Macaca fascicularis: one gene and its partner. The protein of the gene in region 1 purifies or fractionates together with the protein of each later gene. This does not show direct contact. Links are inferred from orthologs where the notes say so. Each region holds a gene or a part of one and is shown in the gene's direction. Other genes may lie near its edges. The genes, in order: NMNAT2 and FBXO45.

Evidence for each region.
Region 2: the proteins of NMNAT2 (region 1) and FBXO45 purify together in Homo sapiens (co-immunoprecipitation; 3 studies listed by BioGRID and IntAct, with this or other methods). This does not show direct contact. The link is inferred for Macaca fascicularis from reciprocal best matches to the Homo sapiens genes NMNAT2 and FBXO45.

Annotation. Positions count from the first base shown.
Region 1 is NC_088375.1:40,953,194-40,957,599, reverse strand, and holds the start of NMNAT2 (nicotinamide/nicotinic acid mononucleotide adenylyltransferase 2), read left to right. Parts: upstream 1-1,495; 5' UTR 1,496-1,578; coding exon 1,579-1,798; intron 1,799-4,406.
Region 2 is NC_088376.1:1,968,512-1,972,834, forward strand, and holds the start of FBXO45 (F-box/SPRY domain-containing protein 1), read left to right. Parts: upstream 1-1,407; 5' UTR 1,408-1,721; coding exon 1,722-2,039; intron 2,040-4,323. UniProt on the Homo sapiens protein: Component of E3 ubiquitin ligase complex consisting of FBXO45, MYCBP2 and SKP1. Functions in substrate recognition but also plays an important role in assembly of the complex.

The DNA of each region.
Region 1 (4,406 bases):
GCTTCCTTTTGTTATTATTCCACTTAGAAAAGTGTCTAACTCTTGCCCTAGCCTACAAGCCCCATTTGATCTGGCCCTGATCACCTGCTGCTCAGTCTTCTATCATTTTTCCCTTTGCCCATATTTTCTAGCCACACTGGCCTTTCATTTCTATGAGCACAGTAAGCCCTTCCCTGTCCCTGAATATGTGGGCTAGCAACTACTCTTGTCGCTCAGGTTTCACTGAAATGTCACCTCCCCAGAGGGCCTTCTCAGACTACTTGATTCATCTCCTCTTCTCCACTCACTCTCTGCTCTGTGAGAGAGTAAATTGCATTCACTTACTGTGCATTGCACAATTGCCATCTAATATTTATTGTCTATCTTCCTCCAGTAAAATGAAGACAGTGACTTTGCTTCACCAGCATGGTTTATAGCAATACTTGACACACAGTGAGTCCTCAAGAAACATTTGTTAAATGGTCTTTGTCTCAACTTTGGTAGATTATGGAGGATCCCCATCATTTTCTTTGTTTTTCAAGATGGATTCTCGCTCTGTCACCCAGGCTGGAGTGCAGTGGCGCGATCGCAGCTCACTACAACCTCGCCTCCCGGGTTCAAGCAATTCTCCTGCCTCAGCCTCCCGAGTAACTGGGATTACAGGCACACGCCATCATGCCTGGCTAGTTTTTGTATTTGTTTTTTAGTAGAGACAAGGTTTCACTATGCTGGCCAGGCTGGTCTCGAACTCCTGACCTCGTGATCCACCCGCCTTGGCCTCCCAAAGTGCTGAGATTACAGGCATGAGCCACCGCACCCGGCGGATCCCCATAATTTTCTAATACAGTTTTAGTAACTCTGCCCCCTTCATGTTCTCTCAAATGGATAGCATTGCTTCACCCACAAAAAGGATCAGTATAGCAGAGGAAAGGTTGAGATCACCCCTATCTCTCTGCGGCAACAGATCAAGATTTGGACTCAATAGTTTGGAATCATCAGATAAGGGAAAAAGGAAAGGCAGAAATGAATGCTACTGAAATAAACAATGGTCATTTCTCACTTAAAATTTTGAGGAAGAGAGAAAGAAAAAAATATCTTAAGATGAAACATTTTTTAACTTGGAGATGTTAGAGAAAGTAGGGCGGACAGAAAAATGTTAGACTGAGGAGGAAAACTGAATCAAGATGAGGCAAGAGGCAGAAAGAGCCCACACCATGCTGTGAGCTTTTGGTTCCGAGCTTGGGTACCACGTCTTGCCTTCTGGATAAACTCTAAGGAAGAGAGTGATGAAGTGAAGCGGGCTGGGGGGATAGAAAGGATGGGGTGGGGCACCAGGACGAGAGACGGCAAGGAAGCTAGAACGAAAAGAGAGGGACCGAGGAGAGAAGAGAGCAGAGCAATACAAAAGCAGCCTCGGAGCTTGCCGGAGCTGCAAGCGTTAAGGGGAGGCGGAGAGTGACGCGGTTTGCGTCTGGAGCGGCTCCTTGGAGTCCACAGCATCCACCGCCGGAGCCTCGCCTTCCTTTCTCCCTCTGCAGACACAACGAGACACAAAAAGAGAGGCAACCCCTAGACCACCGCGAGGGACCCACTTGCACCATGACCGAGACCACCAAGACCCACGTTATCTTGCTTGCCTGCGGCAGCTTCAATCCCATCACCAAAGGGCACATTCAGATGTTTGGTGAGTCCTCCCGCCCACCTCTGGAAGCCGCTTCCGCTCCTCTCCTTTCCCAGGCACCTGTGTTTTCCAGGGCGATCGAACGGGAAGGCGTGTGCCCCATTCGGAGGGGTGCGCCGGCTGATCCAGCTGGTGGAGGTCGGCCCCTTTATTTTGGACTCGGGGGAGGGGAGGCAGACTGCGTTTCCGAGGCGTCACTTGCTGGGGCCAAGACCCGGCTTCCAGGGGGCCAAAGGTGGGGGATGGGAGAGGACTAGAGACAAGTGTCATTTGGGGCTGGGCAGGGGTTCGAGATACCAGAACTGGAGTGCGGCGGTGTGGTGGTTCGGCTACCAGGCTGGCGAGGACCGGGATGGGGGCAGAGGTTGGGGCGCCGAGTAGGGGGAGGAGGAGGCTGGAGATAACGTGCTGTTTGTTTAGGATGGGCCGAAATCTCCAAGGAGTTAAATCATGTATGTGCCTCGGATTCACAAACACACTCGCGCCCAACACACCAGTGACAGGGGCTGGGGCTTCAAGATTAATTTCAGATTTGGCTGGTGGTTCTGGGCGGCCCAGGGACGAGTGTTTGGGAATTGTGGGCCGTGTATTGCCCGTGCGAGGTGGATGCTGAGCGAATAGGGAGGGGGCCCTTTTCCGCCTAGGTTCGGCCTTAGGAACCCGCTGCCTAGGACAGGGAGGGGGCCGGGTGGCGGCTGCGGGAGGCCCTGCGGGAGCCGGAGCCGAAGGATCGGGGCCCAAGTTGGCTGAGGCTCTGCCCAGGGTGGCCATGGCACGCGGAAGGTTTGAGGCGTCTAGTGTGTGTATGAATGTGCGAATGAGTGTGTGTGAGTATATGCGTGTGCGTGTTGGGGGGAGGGGACTCATCATCGCGCGTTTGTTTCTTAGAAGCTTTGGGGCGTGGAGCCAGAGAGAGCGAGCGGGGGCATCTGGCTGGCTGGTTCGGGGTCCAGGAGCCGCAGGGGAAAGGTGATCGATGGATGCCTGTTGGAGGTCTCGCGCCACCGGTGGGAAACCACGCGGCTTCGCAGCTGCTAGTAGGACTCAAAGGAGCGGGGCATGAGCGTTTGGACACGGAAAGAGGGACGCGGAGGTCACTTTAGAAGCACGAATTGAGAAGTTAGAAGTTGGGGGTGCTTTTTCTTGAAACTGAGAGAAGCGAGGAGTAGGGAAGAATGAGTGGGCTGGGATGGATGAGAGAGCGGGTGGGAGGCCCTGACCTGGCCCGCCAGCGAGGCGCTCTCCAGAGGCGGCGGTGCTGAAATGCAGGGCGCGCCGGAGCTGGATGCGGGCACACGTGTTTATCCGGAGCTTGAGGATTGCGCGAGCCCTCCTGGGGAGGTTTAATGAGAACCACATTACAGCAGTAAAGACAGGGCGAGGTGGTTTAGGCTAAAAATATTCATCTTTAAACTTAAAAGGTGCGCTGAACTGGGATCGCTTGTTAAAAACCTCATGGAAAGAATATAGAACTACTTTGAGCAGAGGGCAAATCGGGTAGGCATATCTACACCATAGAAGGAGGGAGGCTGAGAAACAGCCATCCCTTCTTCACCATTCGTTCAGCTTTTAAAAGTCTTTTATTAAGAACCAATGCCAACTTGCCTGTTAAATAAGGACTTCTGTTCAAGCATCAGGGTAGACAAGAGCATCTCATCAGTCTTCTAAGGAATGTCAGTGCCCAGTGCCCTTTGATGCTGGTGTCTTCATCCCTTTCCTTCTTTTCCTGTCTGTCCATATGTCCTCTGGCAATTTATGTTGATGCACTTTACTCCTCTCCCTTGACCAGGCAATGATGGGTTTTCCTTTGGAACCAAGAGAAAGGAGGAGTAGGGAAGAGCCACTGGGCTGAGGATGAAACTCTGTGACTCTAAGAATCTTTGGTGACTCAGTGGGTACTACTCCTTTCTTCCTGGAGCTATGAAATCCCACTTATTTTAGATTACAAGAGAAACGGATTTGGATTGAGAACCAAAAATTCTGTCCTGCAACTGAAGATTCTTTGTTAACAGTAATAAAGGCTTTTGTTAAGCAAACACTGACCTGCCAATTCTCCATGAGCTTCAAGGATAGACTATGTGGAAATAGGCCTGAGTTGCAGTGGAAGGGTTTAGATATAGAAAGGTGAAAAGGAGACTTTTGGCAGTAGCGATTATTTACTTAGTGTAAGAACTGAGGACCAGGGCAGAATGTCAACAAAGTCCTTTGCATGTCCATTAAAGTATAATTCAGAGAGCAACACAAAAAAAGGATATGATATGTTCACTCACTATGGCTTTAAGGAGCTTATTACCTAATGAAGAATTTAGCACATAAACAAGTAAAAATGAAGCAAGAATAAGAACACAAATACACATTAAACTATTTTTGGTAGAATCTCTTATGTGAATCTTTGAGCTCTGGATAAATTTTATAATTTATTTTTGTAGAGCAGTTCTGGTTAACAAAACTTTTTCATCTACGTTAAGTTACTTATTCCTATTAACAACCTTATAAGAAATACATTATTACCTCTATTTTACAAATAAGAAACTGACAGAAGCCAAGTGACTTTCTCATGAACACACATGGAGAATAGGTGGCACTGAGACTTCAGCCTCATGTTCCTGATTCCTCTTGTAAAGGCCTTCATACTGCAACAAAGGCTGCAGGAAGTGCCCACTCATCTTCTGACTGCATAATTCCATGAACACTCTATTTTCATGAACCATAAACTAACAGAATTAAGTTGACCATCAACTAAGCG
Region 2 (4,323 bases), on another chromosome or scaffold:
TGGGGCACTTAGGAGACGGTCTGCCGTTGAAAGTCACCTCAGCGACTGGGCTAGAGATTAGCACCAGAAAAACATCGGATCCTTCAAAGGTTCTACCTCGGCTGTACTGTGACAGGATAAAGGCCAGTCTTTAAAACTGAATGATCTCGAAACACTCTGCACCAGTCATACCACCACTGTCCCTTTCAAGTGCTTGTGCCTTTAAGGCTGTTCATTCTGTCTAGTTCATTATCTCGTTTTCAGATGGATCAACTCTGCTTATCCTCGAAAACTTAAAAGAAATTAGTGAGAGAGAGTCACCATCACCATAGTCAGCAGAGGTCAACTTTTCTTTACCGGCTTGGGGTTTCTAAAGCTGGACTTGATGTGGAGAAGCTGGATAGCAACCAAAATGACTGAAGGGCTGTGGCGCTGGCATTGGTAAGAATGAAAATTACGGTTACTGGACTTTGTGAAAAAGACATATGAGGAGAACGGACAGGCGAGTAATAATCAAACACCATGTATCAGAGGGTAGGGAAGGTAGCTGCCGTTCCTTTGCTTTTACTAGAGACTAAGAGATGGATATAGCTGTGTGTGTGTGTGTGTCTGAGGTAGGAGCTCACTCTGTCGCCCAGGCTGGAGCACAGCAGTCGATTATGGTTCACCAGAGGCGCACGCCACCACCCTCGGCTAATTTTTCTATATTTTGTAGCGACACGGTCTCTCCATGTTGCCCAGGCTGGGATGCTGAAATTCTTCCCCTTCCAAGAATCCATCTATAATCATGGCCTCCACGTCATTCTCCCTATTGGAATGTTTAATTGACTAAAACTACATTGCCTTCATCTGCTTACTAAGCGGTGGCTCCAGTAAAGGCCACACCTTGTCCAAAAGACAGAAGCAGTTAATTAGCACTCAAATGGCACTCGAAGGCGTGGGCGCGGGGGTGTTCAGTCGCAGCCACCTTACTTTCCGAAGGCACACAGGCACAGACGTTGGGCTAACTGCCGATATTCGGGGAGAACGAGAGGGCCTGACCAGGTCAAGACGGCCTCCGCTGCCCAAGCTACACAAAAAGGTGGGGGAGCTAGGAACTGGCCAGCAAGGAAAGAAAAGTTTCACGCGTTGAGTTGGAGTCTGAAGCAAGGACCTAACCGACACAGGGAAACGTCACAGGAAAGGGGGCCCAGGAGAGCAGACGCGGAGCCACCAGACCAGAAAGAGGAAAAGGCACTGGAAAGCAGCATCAAAGCCACCGGCCCCAGCCTCATACCTGCTCTTCCCGCTCCCCTCCTCGGCGCCCAGTGATGACCTCACCCGCCGGCGCCCAATCCCGTCGAGCGTAAGGCGCGAGGCGGCGCAGCCAAACAGTCACATCCGGGGCCGAGAGGAACCGCGAACGAGCTGGGCGTGCGCCCTTGCTTCGTGCCCTCAACCCGCATGGCGGAGCCACTGGCGCGCCGCGGAGAGGCCGGGCGAGTCGGGCGGTTTCGGCGCCCTCGCTGAGCCGCGGGGGAGGGGCGGAGGACGCCCGTGCAGCCGGTGCGTCTGCCCTCAGTGAGGCGGGGCGCGCGGCGGACGCCCCCGGGCAGGGGCGGGAGTGGTGGAGGCGCCGGCGGCTGGCACTGAAAGGGGCGGTGAGCGAGCCGCTCCGGTCTCCGGGCGAGGCTTGGCCTTCCGAGCAGAGACGGCGGGAAGCGGCGGCGGCGGCGGCGGCCCTCGGGCCGGCTGGTGAGGCGATGGCGGCGCCGGCCCCGGGGGCTGGGGCAGCCTCGGGCGGCGCTGGCTGTAGCGGCGGCGGCGCGGGCGCGGGCGCGGGCTCGGGCTCTGGGGCCGCGGGGGCCGGGGGCCGGCTGCCCAGCCGGGTGCTGGAGTTGGTGTTCTCTTACCTGGAGCTGTCCGAGCTGCGGAGCTGCGCCCTGGTGTGCAAGCACTGGTACCGCTGCCTGCACGGCGATGAGAACAGCGAGGTGTGGCGGAGCCTGTGCGCCCGCAGCCTGGCAGAAGAGGCTCTGCGCACGGACATCCTCTGCAACCTGCCCAGCTACAAGGCCAAGGTGAGAGAGCCCCGGGCCACACCGCTGCCCCCAGTCCCGCTCCCCGGCGTCGTTCCCGGTGTTGCTATCCAAGCTTCTGAGTCAGACGCCTCGCCTCACCAGCCCGCCTTTCCACGGCTCCAGTCAGCACCTTCCTCACCTCCCCCCAACATAAAGATTCTCTTTTCTTTGGATCGAAGTTCTGCTCCTTAACCCACCCCACTTCCGTGATCCACTTTTCAAACAACTAGGTAGTTTGCATCACTCATTCAACTTTTGACTGCTTTCCCCGTTAAAGACAGACCACCACTCTTGTACCTTTTAATGCCCTCATCCTAATTTTCCCCCTGGCCTCCAAATAGACTTCATTATGTTAAATAATCCCCGCTACCTTAACAGGGGCTTAGTTTCTAAGTTTCTAGTTTGCTTTTACTCCACGTTTATCTCATCTTTTCCAAACTCTGATTTTTAACCTTTTTTTTTTTTCATTATTTTCCCCCAAGTTCTCTTTAGTTCCCTCCACTATATTTGAGGCTCACAAGTGGGTGTAGTCCTAGTCATCCTGCTCACTTAAAGATACAGGCCTTTATAGAACATCCACGGGCACCACTTAACATACCGCTTTGTCCTACTGTTGTTGGCTGTTTCCTTGCTAACTTTTTAATAGTTCCACATGGATGGCGTGTCTCTCTTCTTCTGTTTGTCATCTAAGGTGCTGATTACAGTTTCGCTGCGTCCTTTTTTTTTCTCCTAGATTCTTGTGCGTATTCCGCCCGTCTTCATATACAAAATAAAAATGTCAAGAACAGGTTGTGGTAGGGCTGAAAGGATTCTCAGGCCATATAAACAAAGGGTCTTGGCCTTGGGTTCAGCTTAATGGTTAACAGCTGTTCAGTATAGCAGTCAACCAAGATCATATATAAGAGAAGATAAAGTCTGATTGCAATGTAGTAAACATAATAAATGCATTAGTAACTAAAAGGATAACATCCTTTTTTTTTTGTTTTTTTTTCTTTTTGAGACGCAGTGTAATGGCATGATCTCGGCTCACTGCAACCTCTGCCTCCCGGGTTCAAGCGATTCTCCTGCCTCAGCCTCCCGAGTAGCTGGGGTTACAGGCATGTGCCACCACACCCGGCTAATTTTGTATTTTTAGTAGAGATGGGGTTTCTCCATGTTGGTTACGCTGGCCTCGAACTCCCGACCTCAGGTGATCCGTCGGCCTCGGTCTCCGAAAGTGCTGGGATTACAGGCGTGAGCCACCACGCGATAACATCCCTTTGTTATACTAGCTTGCCAACAGGGGTCGGAGTAAGAAGTAAAAAATTTTTTTTCATGTGAAGCATGTAAAATTTATACTTCTATAGTAAAACTGGTTTTAGTTATAGAAGACAGGGAACATTGCCATTAAATATGTCAACTATCAAGTTGTTTCTCTTTTCTTTTTTCTTTCTTTTTTTTGGGGGACAGAGTCTCGCTCTGTCGCCCAGGCTGGAGCGCAGTGGCCAGATCTTGGCTCACTGCAAGTGCCGCCTCCCGGGTTCAGGCCATTCTCCTGCCTCAGCCTCCCGAGCAGCTGGGACTACAGGCGCCCGCCACTACGCCCGGCTAATTTTTTGTATTTTTAGTAGAGACAGGGTTTCGCCGTGCTAGCCAGGATGGTCTCGATCTCCTGACCTCGTGATCCACCTGCCTCAGCCTCCCAAAGTGCTGGGATTACAGGCGTGAGCCACCGCACCCGGCCTCGAGTTGTTTTTCTATTAAGCAAAATAACAATAATTTACTAGGACTATTTGTGCATGGTGGCTATTCAGTGGATACTGGTTGTAATTTATATAGGTGAGTGCAGATTATTGGAATTTTGTCCTACTTTTATAAATGTGTAGGTTTCATAAATTTTATTTAGTTTTTATTTTTCCATAAAGCTTATTGTTTTTACTTATTTTAAACTAGGAGTTTTTGTTGTTGTTTTTGAGACAGGGTCTCACTCTGTCTCCTAGGCTGGAGTGCAGTGGCGCAATCATAGCTCACTGCAGCCTCAACCTCCTGAGCTCAAGTGATCTCCTTAGCTTAGCCTCCCAAGTAGCTGGAACTACCGGCATGTGCTACCACACTGGCTCCTTTTTTATTTTTCACAGACACGGGGTCTCACCTTGTTGCCTGGCTGGTCTCAAACTCCTGGGCTCAAGTGATCTTCCCACCTCAGCCTTCCAAAGTGCTGGGGTTACAGGCGTGTGCCACTGCACCCAGCCTAAACTAGGAGTTGTTGTTTTGGTAATTGACTTGTAATAGAAATGTTCACATG